3 linked regions of the Arabidopsis thaliana genome follow. The protein of the gene in region 2 interacts with the protein of the main gene of each other region in a pairwise test. Each region holds a gene or a part of one and is shown on either strand. Other genes may lie near its edges.

The links.
Region 1: the proteins of PAB2 (region 2) and ERD15 interact in a two-hybrid assay, tested with the Arabidopsis thaliana proteins (2 studies listed by BioGRID).
Region 3: the proteins of PAB2 (region 2) and CID7 interact in a two-hybrid assay, tested with the Arabidopsis thaliana proteins (2 studies listed by BioGRID).

The regions. Positions count from the first base shown.
Region 1 is NC_003071.7:17,267,432-17,271,092, reverse strand, and holds ERD15 (dehydration-induced protein (ERD15)), read right to left. Parts: upstream 1,936-3,661; 5' UTR 1,691-1,935; exon of another isoform or gene 1,374-1,690; 5' UTR 1,358-1,373; coding exon 1,018-1,357; coding exon of another isoform or gene 995-1,017; exon of another isoform or gene 931-994; coding exon 779-930; 3' UTR 551-778; downstream 1-550. Other genes in the region: WIH2 (proline-rich family protein), read left to right, coding at 3,220-3,265, 3,411-3,615. UniProt on the Arabidopsis thaliana protein: Central component of stress responses that interacts with poly(A)-binding proteins. Negative regulator of abscisic acid (ABA) responses, including resistance to drought and freezing as well as stomatal closure regulation.
Region 2 is NC_003075.7:16,334,638-16,340,860, forward strand, and holds PAB2 (poly(A) binding protein 2), read left to right. Parts: upstream 1-1,653; 5' UTR 1,654-2,094; coding exon 2,095-2,362; intron 2,363-2,595; coding exon 2,596-2,714; intron 2,715-2,901; coding exon 2,902-3,558; intron 3,559-3,647; coding exon 3,648-3,725; intron 3,726-3,800; coding exon 3,801-3,890; intron 3,891-4,157; coding exon 4,158-4,295; intron 4,296-4,529; coding exon 4,530-4,700; intron 4,701-4,802; coding exon 4,803-4,952; intron 4,953-5,036; coding exon 5,037-5,255; 3' UTR 5,256-5,677; downstream 5,678-6,223. Other genes in the region: CER9 (RING/U-box superfamily protein), read left to right, coding at 1-227. UniProt on the Arabidopsis thaliana protein: Binds the poly(A) tail of mRNA. Appears to be an important mediator of the multiple roles of the poly(A) tail in mRNA biogenesis, stability and translation. In the cytoplasm, affects both translation and mRNA decay.
Region 3 is NC_003071.7:11,187,176-11,192,957, forward strand, and holds CID7 (CTC-interacting domain 7), read right to left. Parts: upstream 4,223-5,782; 5' UTR 4,062-4,222; exon of another isoform or gene 3,921-4,061; intron 3,610-3,920; 5' UTR 3,554-3,609; intron 3,446-3,553; 5' UTR 3,405-3,445; coding exon 2,631-3,404; intron 2,550-2,630; coding exon 2,111-2,549; coding exon of another isoform or gene 2,076-2,110; exon of another isoform or gene 1,973-2,075; coding exon 1,902-1,972; coding exon of another isoform or gene 1,896-1,901; exon of another isoform or gene 1,531-1,895; coding exon 1,406-1,530; coding exon of another isoform or gene 1,330-1,405; exon of another isoform or gene 1,263-1,329; coding exon 968-1,262; 3' UTR 551-967; downstream 1-550. Other genes in the region: AT2G26270 (BRCT domain DNA repair protein), read left to right, coding at 1-61, 266-484; ARSK1 (root-specific kinase 1), read right to left, coding at 5,062-5,528, 5,614-5,737.

The DNA.
Region 1 (3,661 bases), on a different chromosome or scaffold from region 2:
ATAGGTGTCTTAAAGCTCTGTTCTAGCCAAAGCGCTGCGTTTTGGAGCGTTTCTGATCGTCTGACTAATCATTTGTTCGAATGTCAAATCGACGACTTGTGGAGTCAAAAAAACAAAGCTTCAAGAGTCAAGACGAGAGTTTTCGCATCAAACGAAAGAAAAGTCTCATTTTCCCCATTTTTGATGGGGAATTTACTAAGTCCGGTTTAAATTTGGACATGTCTTCGGTATCTCAATTCCGAGCTCGAAATGAACTTGGTGTCGTCGGCAATGTTTGCAAGTTAAAACATGTTCGACACTCCTGACCTTTTGCGTGTATTAGCATTATGATGTAATCGACATCCTTTTCTTAGCCACCAACCTTGTAGAGTTCTAGTCTTTAGAGAACTGATCATTTTCAGTAGCTGAGACGTGAAAACCTTCTATATTTGAGCTCTGCGATGGCTTTCTTTTGGTCGTAAAGCCAAAGCAACATTGATGCAACTGCTTCCGGTAGCCATCACCGATGCAGGATAAGACTTTTGGTAATTGAATAGAATTGCTCAGACAAAGGTAGGAAATAAACTCTAGTTCTCATTTCTCTTCAAAGTTTACATTTTTTTTTTTTTATGTTTTTACATTTTTGTGATAGCAAGTTTGAGAATGAACATCATAAAGATACAAAGTTACAGATTTTTGTTGTGGAAGCAAATACTAAAAATTACAAAGGTACAGTGGTGGCTAAAGATACACAGACCGAACTGCTCTGACTTCTCTGACTAGTTAACAACATATCTCTTCAGCGAGGCTGGTGGATGTTTCTCGGAGCAGCAGCAACCCTCTGGTTTCCCCATTTCGCTGGCTTTTCCGCATACTTAGCTGGTTCCACAATCGATCTCGGGCTCCTGTTTCCACTTGATTTCTTAACCATCTCACCATTCTTTCCAAAGCCTGATGATATATATAAACAACAATTAGCCTCCACAAATCTACTGATCTTGGATGGTTCTATGTATCAGGGGAATGAAACCGACTTACCAAATTCGGAAGGTGCTTGGTAATACATTCTTCCATCGAATCCTTGATCAAACTCAGCAGCATCAGTGTCAAAGAAATCTTCCATATCATCAAAATCAAATGATTCTGGAAGAAGATCAGCTACATCGATATGACCTCCACCATTCTCATTCTCTCCGTTGTCATAGAAACCATCCGCGCCTTGCTGCTGCTGACTGATCCAGTAATCAGGGTACCAAGTCGAAGTTGTCACCAATTGCCACCACTCCGGTGAGAAATCTTCCACTTGTCGTACAGCTGCCGGAATAAAAAGAGGTGCGTCGGGGTTTAGAGTAGATCGTCTTCCTGATACCATCGCCATTCTCAAAACTCTAGATCTGCACACACAAACAAACAAGCTCAGTTCAAATTCAAATTCAAATCTAACAACTCAATCACAACATAGCTTAATCCTTAGATCAATAGATCTGTACGATCAGTAAACATAGCAACAATAAGTTTCCGATTAGATCACTTGAAGTAGGACAAGTACAAGTTTGAAATCGAGAGAACTGAAGATAAATCAAGTTTTAAGATAGATCAACAACCATCACAGAGATCTAATACCATGGAAACCAATCAAATCCTTCAAAATCCACGAACTTCAAATATAGAAATTGATCGAGTAGAGAAGAAGACAACATCAGATCTTTACCTTGGCCGAGGAAAATATCTGCTGCAACTTGCTCAAGTTGATCAAGTTGATAAATATGTCTTCTTATTTTTTTAAAAGCTAAACGGATTAGGATCATTCACCAGAACCTACGTTGCGAGAAGATGAGAAGAAGAAGGACTAATATATAAAGTAAGGTTCGGTGACGAAGCTGGGGTTCGTAACGTCGAGGCAGGATTAAAGGTGAGACACAAGTGGGTAGGTCTGGACCCATAGCTAACATGGTTCTGAGTAATCAACCGTCCACGTGTAGACGCGTTACTGTTGGCTTTTATTGACTTTCTTTTTCGTTCCAATCCTGTTGGCTACTCACACTAAAAAGTTAAATTATTATTCTTTCTATAAAATATCTTAAATTTGGTCGGAAAGAGGATAAGGTAGGAGGAAACTAATCCAATATAAGCCCATTTATGACCGTATGGGCCTAACCCACTCATGATTTTGTTTTACATCATCATTTTGGGCCTAATCCTAGAATCTACTTTTGGTACTTACGTTTTCGGTATTGTATCGTGTAAGTACCAAAAGTAGATTCTAGGATTTACGTAATGTCTGAGATGTGCATTTTTATAGGACATCAAGTTTGAAAAGCTAACCAATGACAATGAAGAACCAAATTCTAAGGTAATCTATACAAGGACACCAAGATCATTAAGGTGTCGAACAACTAGGATTATCGAAATGAACATACATAATTTTCTGCTTCATTGTTATGTTGCAAAACGGAATGACTGATCATATTTTCTTCTTTGCATCAACCACTTACGGTCAGTTTTAGAATAGCAGTGGCAAAACTAGTAGATGAAGTAGCTCAAAGAGAACGATGTGTAATTGGCGGGAAGGAAAATGTTGTAGTGAAGTCCAGGCCATTGCTACTTTCACAATGTGATTCAGCAAGCCTTTTCAAGAGATTGGAAACCTTAAAATGTATATATGTACATGAATATCTCCTCTTTTTTAGTATACATTGGAAGTAGGTAAGTGGGGTTTAGAATGTAGACACTTTTACTTTATCTATTGTGTACATCTATTTATCATATGTTGTAATGTGTCTTAAGTCAATCGACTCGATAAAACAAAATGAATTTCTATATTCTAAGGAAATTTGAAGTAAGATACAAAAAGAAATTAAGCATCACTAGATTTCATACAGAACATTAGAAAAAACAACAGAATAAACAACCAATCAATAATCTTTGTTCTCCAATTAATTAAGTTCTATTAAACAAAAAAAAAACAGAAATAATATCGCTGCAAAAGGCAGAAACCGCGTGAATCTTGTTTTAATTTAACCTTTTTTATTGGTAGTTTCATTTTAATTCATCGTATTGAACGCTAGCCTAAAGTTATGGATAAAAACAAGAAAAATCAAATAACTGCAAAACGCGTTATACTTAAAACACTCTCCTCTTTTCCTTGTCCTTCTCTATCGCTTCTATAAACTTTTTCGATCTAAGGTTCGTGATCTCCTTCTTCTCTACGAAGTTTACACTTTTTCTTCAAAGGAAACAATGAGCCAGTACAATCAACCTCCCGTTGGTGTTCCTCCTCCTCAAGGTCCTCTTTCCTTCTATTTTCGATTACTTTTAGAAGTTTCGGTTTTTAGATTTGTAATTTTTTCTTAGATCTGCTTAATTTGGTACTGATTATTGTTTTTGTACGACGGATCTGAATTTTGTTTGTGCTGAAATTGTATCAATAGGTTATCCACCGGAGGGATATCCAAAAGATGCTTATCCACCACAAGGATATCCTCCTCAGGGATATCCTCAGCAAGGCTATCCACCTCAGGGATATCCTCAACAAGGTTATCCTCAGCAAGGATATCCTCCACCGTACGCGCCTCAATATCCTCCACCACCGCAGCATCAGCAACAACAGAGCAGTCCTGGCTTTCTAGAAGGATGGTTAGTCAATAAACACACTCCATTATATTTAATCTGTTTTTACTAA
Region 2 (6,223 bases):
GCTTCTGTGCAAAAAGATGCCATGTCTGGTTTAGAAACCTTCACAACTCTATCCGTGATGACCGTTATCTCATTGGTCGGAGACTGCATAACTTTGGGGAAGCTGCTTTAGCTAATCAAAACCAAAACCAAAGTAGTGAGGATGCAGGAGATGGTGTCTTGATAGGACGAGAGGGAGATGTTGATAATGGACTTAGGCTCAGACGTGCAATCCAACAAGAAGCTTAGAAAGAAACTGTGCACTGAGGCGTTTAACATTTTGTGTACTTAAGCCGTTAAGAGATGGCTTTGAAAGATTTATTATTAGTCGATGTGTAAATTATTATATCCGTTGATGATTCTCTTTTTTTTGTTTTTGTGTACGAAACTAAAAGATCTTTAGAATAATGCTTCGTTTGTCCATATGCCTTGTGTGTTTCTATGATAATGCTTCTAGAATACCTTCGCTTACTGCAAATTCTTGTCTTTTGTCTCTTATGTTAGTGCATGTAAGCCTTAAGGAATTGGCGTTGAAGATCTATTTGGCCGATGTGTGATTGTAGACATACTCGTTGATACTGTTTTTGGTTTTTTATTTTCCAACAGAATAAAAATAAGAGGAATGTTATAACCCCATTAGATAGATGTCCATATCAGGTTCATCTCAGACCCATATGCTTCAAGGGTTATGGGTACTTAGAGAGATTGTGTTCCCGATTGTGATGAAACTCCTAACGGCTTTATGTGTGCCTTATGTGTTGGCGAGAGGAGTGTTCCCAATGCTCGGATATCCGCTAGTAGTGAACTCAGCGGTCTACAGATTCGCATGGATAGGTTGTCTCTCAGTGAGCCTCTTCTGCTTCTGGTTTAGAAACCTTCACAACTCTATCCGTGATGACCGTTATCTCATTGGTCGGAGACTCCATAACTTTGGGGAAGCTGCTTTGGCAAAACCAAAGTAGTGAGGATGCGGGAGATGGTATCTTGATAGGACTTTAGGGAGATGTTGATAATGGACTTAAGGCTCAGACGTGCAATCCAACAAGAAGCTTAGAAAGAAACTGTGCACTGAGTCGTATTAACTTAGGCTTGGAAATATTTACTAGTCAATGTGTATCCCGTTGATCCTCTTTTGTTTGTGTATAATATCCAAAGGATCTTAAGAAATGAGTAATGACGCTTCGTATATATATATGCCTTGTGTGTTTCTACTTTCTATTGTAATGCTTTTTGAAATGATTGCGTATTGCAAAATCTCATCTCTCATCTTATGTTCTTTCGTGTCACAATTCTACTGGAAGGCCAATCGTGTATTAAGTTGAATTGTTTTGATAAGTCAAATCTTAACATATTGGTTATTTAATTAAGATACTTTTTGCATACCATATAAAATCGTGCGGTAAATATTAATATTAACAACTTTTACTTTAGGAAAATCAAAATTCATCAAGATCCAGTGAGAATATTGCTAATCAGAGTTAAGAAATGTTAAGATAAATCAAAGAAAATATCATCACTGTACAAAATTTTAACAAACTTGGTTACTAATTAGATTCGAAAGTGTCAAACACGCGCGTATCTGTTTGACTTTTCCGAAAGTGACGAGAAGGAAGACGACCTTATCAATTCACCAGCAACTCTAAAATCAATCCTACGATTTACTTCAGACTCGATCCAACGGCTGAGATCAATCTCACACTCCTAGGGTTCTTCTAGGGGAATTAAAGGTTTCTTTTTTTTGTTGGGTTAATAATATAAAAGCAAAGAAAAGGAGAAACCGTAATGCTTCTTTTTCATCTATCGTAATTGTGCTTGTTTCGCCTAGAATCTCTCGGCCCCCAAATATCTCACTCGCCGTCGCAGGCTTCGCCGCCGGCAATTTCTTACCCTATTTCATCTTCCCTCTCCTCTGATATACCCATAAAAACACAAAAAAAACGAAAAGATAAAAACTTTGGCTTTAGTTTTGTTGATTTTGTCATTCGATTCGATTTCTTTTTCTTCTTTCAAATTCTAGGGTTTTCGATTTGGTTTCAGTCTAATAACGAGAGGGGAGGGAAGAGTAACTAAAACCCCAAAAAAAGTCAAAAAAGTTTCGAAAATCCAAAAAAAGATAATGGCGCAGGTTCAACTTCAGGGTCAGACTCCGAATGGTTCGACCGCGGCGGTCACTTCTGCTCCGGCGACGTCAGGTGGAGCAACGGCGACCCAGTTTGGTAACACGTCGCTTTATGTGGGGGATCTCGATTTCAATGTGACGGACTCGCAGCTTTTCGATGCGTTTGGCCAAATGGGTACTGTGGTCACCGTTCGTGTCTGTAGGGATTTGGTCACTCGCCGATCTCTTGGCTATGGATACGTTAACTTCACCAATCCCCAAGACGGTTAGTCTCCTTAATTTTATTTGGACTTCTTCTTACAATTTCCAATTTTTAGGGTTTGCTCGATAGTACCAGTACTGGATTTGAATGAGGTGTGTTTTAAATGTTGATACTTTATGGTGTTTGTATGTATGCAATGTGGTTGGTGCTGTTGGAAAGCTTATCCCCTGCTTAATCAATCTTTTTAATGCTACTTCTGTCTTCTAATGGTACTTTATCTCGTGTCTTTGTTGCAGCTGCAAGAGCGATCCAAGAACTGAATTACATACCTCTTTATGGAAAACCTATTAGGGTTATGTATTCTCATCGTGATCCTAGTGTTCGCCGAAGTGGCGCTGGCAACATTTTTATTAAGGTACGCTTGTCTCTATCCTTCTGACATTTGAGTTGCTGTAAGACGAGATGATTGTTGCGAAAAAATTTGTATCTTGTATTATTCATTGAAAAGTCTGGCAAAAGTAGTTGATTTCTTTAGTTATGTAAGTTTTTTTATTGGGTGTTCTTTCTCTCTTTCTGATGCTAAACCTGGCTATAATATGCAGAATTTGGACGAGTCCATCGACCACAAAGCACTGCATGATACTTTTTCATCGTTTGGAAACATTGTGTCGTGCAAGGTAGCTGTCGATTCTTCAGGCCAGTCAAAAGGCTATGGGTTTGTGCAATACGCCAATGAAGAATCTGCCCAGAAAGCTATAGAGAAACTGAACGGCATGTTGCTCAATGACAAGCAAGTGTATGTGGGTCCTTTCCTGAGGAGACAAGAAAGAGACTCCACTGCTAACAAAACGAAATTCACCAATGTGTATGTGAAGAATCTCGCGGAAAGTACTACCGATGATGACTTGAAGAATGCTTTTGGCGAGTATGGAAAGATAACAAGTGCTGTCGTGATGAAAGATGGAGAAGGGAAGTCCAAGGGCTTTGGGTTTGTCAACTTTGAAAATGCTGATGATGCTGCTAGGGCTGTGGAGTCTCTCAATGGGCACAAATTTGATGATAAGGAGTGGTATGTTGGTAGAGCCCAGAAGAAGTCAGAGAGGGAAACAGAATTAAGGGTCCGTTATGAACAGAATTTGAAGGAAGCTGCAGACAAGTTTCAAAGTTCAAACTTGTATGTTAAGAATTTGGATCCTAGCATTTCAGATGAGAAACTTAAAGAGATCTTTTCTCCTTTTGGTACCGTTACATCTAGCAAGGTTCAATGTCCCTCTCTCTCTCTCTTTATTTGTAGTGAGTTGACTCTCCTAGTTCATTATTTAAGAAGTTCTTTTATTAAATATTACAGGTGATGCGGGATCCTAATGGAACAAGCAAAGGCTCAGGTTTTGTTGCTTTCGCAACTCCCGAAGAAGCAACTGAAGCTGTAAGTCAGTTGTATCGTCTTGTTGATTGTATTTATGAGGACTTTGATTGTTAGTAACAGTGGAATACTGTACAGATGTCACAGTTGAGCGGTAAAATGATCGAAAGCAAGCCACTCTATGTGGCTATTGCACAGCGGAAGGAAGACAGAAGGGTCAGACTACAGGTTTGCTTCTCTTGGAATCACCTCGTCTTGTGATACACTTACTACTCCTACTTTGCCTGTTGGAGTTTCAACTCTAAACAATTGGACCCATCATGTACAAGTCTTAGAATGTCCCACTGCGTATAATTATCAATACTGATGCTGATTCTTCTTTATAATCAAGTGCAACAATATATAAAGCATAAACAACATATGTCCTAGTATTTTTGTATCACAGAAAAATCTCTTTTTTCTCCTGCTGCTGAGTATTTGCATTGATGTGAATAGGCTCAGTTTTCCCAAGTGAGGCCAGTTGCAATGCAGCCGTCTGTTGGTCCCCGCATGCCAGTGTATCCCCCGGGTGGTCCTGGTATTGGACAACAAATGTTCTATGGTCAGGCCCCTCCTGCCATGATTCCTCCCCAGGTAATCTTCATGTTACTCTACTTTAAGTAGCCGTGTACGATTTTACACAAAGATATGCACATGTTTATTTTCTACCTTGGGTATAATGAATTACAAGCTGACAGATGCTTTTAAGTCACATGAAAAGTTTTTAAATTCTTTAGCTCTATAGTTGCTATACTCATACTTGAGCCTTTCCAAATCTATTTTGAAACTGCTGGGATAATATTAACCTGTACTTATGCAATGCCACAGCCTGGGTATGGATACCAACAGCAGCTTGTTCCTGGAATGAGACCTGGTGGGGGTCCTGTACCCAGTTTCTTCATGCCTATGGTTCAGCCACAGCAGCAGCGTCCTGGAGGAGGAAGACGTCCTGGGGGAATCCAACACTCCCAGCAGCAAAATCCCATGATGCAGCAACAGGTTCTTCTCTTTTCCTTATTTAATTGCAATAAAGGCTGCTTTGCTTGCTTGGCTCTCTTTTAATAGTTGATCGTATGGTTTTTCTGTTTGGATGGTGGTTAGATGCATCCAAGGGGTCGGATGTTCCGGTATCCCCAAGGGCGTGGTGGTAGTGGTGATGTGCCTCCATATGATATGGGCAACAACATGCCATTGACTATTGGAGCTTTGGCTTCAAATCTGTCTAATGCTACTCCAGAGCAACAGAGGACGGTGAGAGAATCTCTTAAAAACCAAATAGAGAGACTGGTTTTGCTTGGATTATAATAATGTGACCCTTTGGGTGTGTTTGTACAGATGCTGGGTGAGGTGCTGTACCCGTTGGTGGAGCAGGTTGAGGCAGAGTCTGCAGCCAAAGTGACTGGGATGCTTTTGGAGATGGACCAGACTGAAGTGCTCCATCTGTTGGAGTCACCAGAAGCTCTCAAGGCCAAAGTTGCAGAGGCTATGGATGTTCTCAGGAGTGTCGCTGCTGGTGGTGCAACCGAGCAGCTCGCTTCCTTGAACCTCTCTTAAATTGCTTTTTATCATTTGATCTTTGGCTTTTGTCTCTCCCATACAATTGGAGTTGTTTCTTTGCTATTCGTTTTCTCCCTGGGAATTTGGATTCCTCCACATAACTGCGTTTGTGTTATTTTAAACCTTCGTTTTTAAACCACAAAGGAAAAACCTATCTGCTTTGTTCTTTTGATTTAGTTGCGTGTTCTAGCTTGTTCGATCTAGTGTTCACGGAAGATGAATTTGATTACCAATAAGGCCAATGCTGGTGATCCCCCTCTTTGGCCTTTTGACTGTTGGTGGTTGTTGCTTCTAGTCATTTTTTTTACCAGTTTTTCAAGCTCTATTTTATGGTAAAAAGGTGTCCTGGTAAAAATGGATGAATGGGTCTCATTCTCAGCAGACAATGTTTGAATGAGAAAGAAATACATTTTAAACTTTTTATACACTTTGCTTCTAGATTGATTGGGACTAGTCGAATAGAAATCTTAGTAGAGGTCTAAGGAAACATGATACACATCTTGTTTGGTTGAAATCTTACCATTGTTTTTGGTTTCAGTTATTGATCTGGTTTTTGGACTACTTTTTCTGCAACTATTTGAGAATGAGAAATTACTTACCAAAAAAAAGAAAGTCTTCATCTACGCCAAGGATTTAGAATATTCGTACATGAATTTTGATTTCCAGTACATTGCGTCATGAACTATATAGTCTACTTGTTTTTTTTTGTATCTATTTGACATGCAGCAAAGCCAGCAACACATCTTTTATTGAGTCTGATGATATTTGTGAACTAATTCGAAAATATTTAAAAGATTCGAGTGTATGAAAGGTTTAACTATTATCAAAATCTCTAGATATTTCAACTGATGGCAACACTCAACAATCTCACAATCACGACATAAAAATCCAATAACACTTGAAACCAAAAGAGGGTTCAAATTAGGGTTTCTTGTTAAATCGAAATTGGACTTTTATTTATTTAT
Region 3 (5,782 bases), on a different chromosome or scaffold from region 2:
TTTCAGTGATAGTGGTTTCACTTGCCTGCAAATCTTAGACTATATCTACAGATTTTACCAGGTATAACCATCATATTCGAATGGCCAATTTCTCGTTTCAGTTCCTTTTAGTTGCTATGAAAAGGAGAGTCTTTAGAATCAATTTCTTCGTCTTAGTTAGGAACTTATGAGTGATTAGTATTTATACTATCTCTGTTGACTCACTAGGCCCATGTTACCGTTTAGTTCACAATAAGAAGATCTCTTGTGTCTATTGATTCTGCAGGAGAACTTGCCGGATCATGAAATAGAAGTTGCAATTCACACAGACTCGAGGCACGCTGACCGTCTCAGAACAGTGTATTGCAGCAAAGAGACATCAGATGAAGGATGCTTGGTTTTCCCAAGAATAGAGTTATTAGGAAGCAGGAAAAGTTTCGAAATGCTTAAGCGAGTGAATGGAGAGAACAACAGTAATGTTTATGAGCTTATGATTAGAGCTTGATTTCTCTTTTACAATACATAACTGGAAACAAGCTTTTTAAAGTACAAAATTTTACTTTTTGACTCATGAATTTGTAACTTAGTGATGCACATTAAATCTAAGAGAATTACAAATATAAGCATTTCCAGAAGAAAGGAGTATAACATATAGAGTAAAACTGTAAAAAAAAAAAAGCACCGAGAATCAACAAAACATCGTATAGATCCCGACAAAAAGATAGAAAGAGGTCTGATCGATCCTCTGATGCTACAAAAAGTATTAACTGAACAAACCTAAACATTTTATGCATACGCCTTCGTTCCTTCCTTCTTGCGGATCTCTTTCCTAACACTTTTTTTTTTCCTTCTTCATTTTCAGCTAGTCTCTTTCTCCTCTCTTCCCATGTACAGATCAGATACAACAAATGAATAGCGTGGTCACCTTTCCTTTTTTTTGTTTTCTTTTCCGGTCTTGTATCCTATATAAGTACCTGGCTTTTGTCTGTCAGTATATGATGACTCTAAGGAGACCGGCCTGTGGTTCGGAATAGTCAAGACCTTCTTCTTCGAGTAGGTAGCGCTGTACAGCAACTGGGAGTCTAGCCGGAGTGCGGGAACCCCTTGTGTGGTGGCCTGTCCCTACACATATGTAAATCTGAAGCCTCTCTTGCGTTGCTCGAGCTGTGCTCCTCAACACACTCAGTTCGTGCTTCAACACCTGAAGTGCTTCACTCACATGTAACCCATGCAAGTCTATCATTCTCTCATTCCCTCTACTGTTTCCTTGACCCACTGGGTTCCTGTTTCATTTTTTACTCATAGGCAGGTTAGAACAGAGATACTGAGAACAGGAGTTTTGTTTTTCATTTATGGAGATATCAGTGTGTGTTTCGGATAAAAGATCATGTTACAAGGAGATGCAGTGCAGGTAAAGAAGTCAAACCTCTGGCGGTAAATGGCTTCTTGAGCTTTCCCATGAGCAGCCTTCATTTGCATATTATGCAACTGTCCCTTAACACTTAGCTCTTTGGCTAAGGCCTTATTCCCAACAAGGTATGCTTGTCGTGCCTACGCTCAACCAGAAGCAACATAGAATATTGAGCGTACATGACTAAGACAGAAAGATAACAGGTTAATAAGATGACGTCGAAGTAATAAAACCGGTGAAAACCCCATCATTGACAAAAAGCTTTATAAACTATCATCATAAATTGCACGCAAGATTCCAAATACTTATGATTCACTACGCCATACACCCGAAGTATTTTCCAAAAATCAATCTGGACAATAGACCTCAAGGTTAGGCCACATTACACGGCCTTAACATTAATAGACAGGTATGTACCAAATGGAACTTCCCAGTTGCAAAAAACAACAGGTCTGCAGAACAACTAGAGGCCACATAAATGAGTAAAATGTCATTTCCAAGTATATTATACCTGTTCAAAGTACACATTCCGCAAACGTGCATAGTCACGTGCTTCCTCGCGTAACTCAGAATACATATTGCCTGTTCATCCCCAGATAAAAGAGAGAGCCAGAAATGCAACATCGTCGAATAAGATAACATATGTTCAATACAGATGTATAACAAGACTCATATAGTTATTTGTCTATGCAATAAAGTTTGTTAAAAGAAGAAACTTACCAACAGCATCCCCGGTCTCCACCCAAACAGGAGCAGGTCGAGTTTGGGCTCGACTTTGCAGCTTATCAGAATATATACTCCTCCCACGGCCACTTTTGTAAGCACCAGAATTCCTGCTAGAGCCAATAGATGAGTCTGCTGAATCATTTCGTTCATATTTCCACATACCAGAATCCTGAGATGCTAACTTCCTGACAGCAGAAACATAATCGATTGCACCAGGCTGAGAAACCGATGGTCCCGACTTGAAGAAGAACATGTTATCCTTTTCAGGAGATTGGTAATGATTTCCAGTTTGTTGCAAATCATCCCCACCAAACTGGGCAGGAATACCATGGCTATTTGAGATGCTTAGTGCAGGAAAATCCATTGGAGTTAGACTAGGAGGAGCATAAGTCTTAGGGCTTATGTTTTGATTCAAGCCACCATCCACTTGTAGCTATACAGAGAAGAAAATAAACATAGAATTTAATAACATAACATCAATAAAAGCTATGCCATATATTGAATAGGAGAATACCTCAAGCTGAGTAAGCATCTCAATTGTCAACTGCAAATCACACCCATTAGCAAAATAAACTTCTGCTAGACTCTCAGCGGCGAATCCGGGGAACTGAGAAGCGAGAAAATCCACAGGGTTCACCTCCATATCCCCTGGACTCTCAGTAATCATGTCGTTAACAAAGCCATGTCGAGATTTCCCACTAAAAGGGTTTCTTTCCCTGTCATTCCCAAGAAGCTGCTCAGCATTCATGATTTGCTTATCCCAAGGCTTTGGACTCAGTTGCATGAAACTCTGTCGCTGAGGATCTTCCCCAAATGAAGAAATGGGATATCTACTCTTATCAGCCAAGCTATTACCATTAGCATTATGTGAAGCTAATCCAGTTTGATCTGAAAAGCCATATCCTCCACTAGCAGAAGGAAACTTCTCAGCTTCATTACCGTCAAACAACGACAAGTTAGCTAGTGACAAACTACCAGATCCATAAGAATTGTCATCTTGAGTCATCAACCCAAAATCTGGAGTTATATCATCAGGAAGTTGATGACTCCAGAACTGACGTGCTTCTTCATCTGAATGATGTGACGCAGATGATTCTGTCCTGTCCAAAACCGCTTTCCCAACAGAACTAGAAGAAGCTAAAAGTCTTGTATCCAAAGTACTTGTACCTCCAGATGAAGGAGAACGTAGAGTAAACGGAACAAACTCAGCAGCATGAGGGTTTAAAGTTGTTGGCTTGATACTAGTACCACTTAGCTTTGGTTCACTTGCTTTCTTTGTTAAACTCATTCTTACAAGACTAGTAAAAATAACTGCTTTTAAACCAAAATCTGCAAAAAAAAGAGTTTGGCTTTTCTAAGTCAAATTACTCAAAGAAGAAACCTGCAAAATACTTTGCTTTAATCAAACAAATTACTCAGAGAAGAAAGGTAACACACCTGACGGTAATAGAGATACACACGTGCGTGGACTTCTCAATTCATATTACCAAAACCTAAACAAGAAAAAGAGATACATTTTCAGTGGCTACAAACTCATAAGTCAAAACCCATTGCAGCTTTTTTATAGTTCTTACCAGACAAACACATAAAGACTTAAAATTTGAAACACAACTACTAAATTCTAGAATAAGGGTATCTTTAAATGACTGAAATAAAAGAAAACCCTTTATTAAAAACAAGATTTTTAAGTAAATCCAAGATAGAAAAAAACAGATTTGTGATTTATTAAACCACACAAAAAAGAAGAACCCAAATCAAGATGAGATTCGTAGAGATAAGAATATCTCTGAAAGAAAGAGCAAACCTTTAAGGAAATGGATCCATGGAAGATAACAAGATCAGAGGTTAAAAGAAAAAGGTAAAGGCTGCTGTTGAAAACAAGATAAAGAGAGAGAAAGATGAGAAATTTTGCAGTTTGGGGTAATCGGAGAGCTTAAGCTGTTACCTCCTAGGGATTCGAGTTTTGGGGTAAGCGTCGTCTTCTTCTACTCTCTCTATAAGAGTAATTGTTTGGGGGTGTTGTTTGGCTAAAGAGGTAACACGAGCACCACAAGATTTATTTAACAAGACACCAAACCTTGCGCCTCTCGTTTTGACCTTTTTTTTTTTTAGTGACTCCATCTATCTACAACATTTATTTATTAACTACTAATGACACTTAATCCTTATCACTAAGGGTTTTAATTGTAAATTTTTGGGCTTTGATTACTTGCTTTTATTAGGTTAACTATTTCCTTTCAACTAATTTTTTTTTTTAATAAGATTTCTCTATATATTTTGAATATCCTGAATTAGCTTATTATTTTAAAAATCTAATTAAAGTTTATACAATTATATTTATATTTAGGAAAAATAATCTTCAAACTGATTGTTATTGTTAATTTGCTTTGAATTTAAGTCATCTAGGGAAAAAAGTATACTTATTGTTGATATAGATAAAATAAATATAAAAATTTAATAATTTATTACATTTATACAGCATTCTGAAACTCAAATATACCCAAACGGTTTCATATGTAATCTTGAAAACGAGAGTGCTCCGAGGAGCTCATAATTTCATTGGAATCACCAAGAATAATCTAGGGGTAGCTGCCGTACCATACATGATTTGATTTTATTGCAATTCCAATCTCCATAATAACCAACCAAGTGATCATCTACTATGTTTTAAAGAGCGAAATAACTTCAACGTTGTCCGCCCAACAAACTGGTGTATATATATATGATTTACAAACATTTATTTTATATTTCTTGTACATGACTCTTTTGTACAAAGTATTTTTGAATTATGTAAAGGAAATTAATCTAAAATACCAGAGAACTAGGATACTTATAACATCACCTTTCTTTCCTTCAAATTTTTGGAAGAATGGTCATAACTTAAGATAAGAATTGCGTTCATAGAATATGAATGCTTAATAATTCATATGAGAAAATGATGTATTTCAAATGCCATCGTTTTGCTTTGCCTTGGATTCCTTGTAAACGAGAGAATCTGAATAAGCGATGTTCACACGTCTTTTGCCTTTACGGTGATGCCTAAACTTATTTATATCAACAAACTTCTTTCCTTCTTTGTTGTTATTGCCATCATGCTTCCTAATATCAACTTCTTGGATAGACTCTAAGACCTTAACCACCTCACACATTGTAGGTCTATACTTAGGATGTTGGCTTAGACACTTGTATGCTAGGGAAGCAGCTACCTGAGCCGCTTCTGTTTTGTGCTGGTTCGCGAGCCTCGGGTCAATTATCCTCTCTAACTTTCTTTGGTCCCTTAACATAGGCCGCGCCCATTCCACTAGGCTTTGTTCCCTCCGTGTTCGGGTATTGTCCATTGACCGTTTTCCGGTTATCAGCTCTAACAAAACTACTCCAAAACTGTATACATCATTCATCGTCGTCAAATGACCTACAACACATGTAAACCATTAAAGACATATCTCAAAGAATATCGCTTCACGGTAAAAGAAATAAATTCCTTACAAAAATGTTACCAGTCATGATATATTCGGGCGCAGCATAACCTTGTGTTCCCATCACTCGGGTAGTTACATGCGTATGTTCGCCTTCAGGTCCATCTTTGGCTAGACCGAAGTCAGATAATTTGGCGTTATAGTCCTGAAATATCAAAGAGTCAGTTGAGAAATACCACTTTAATTTGAT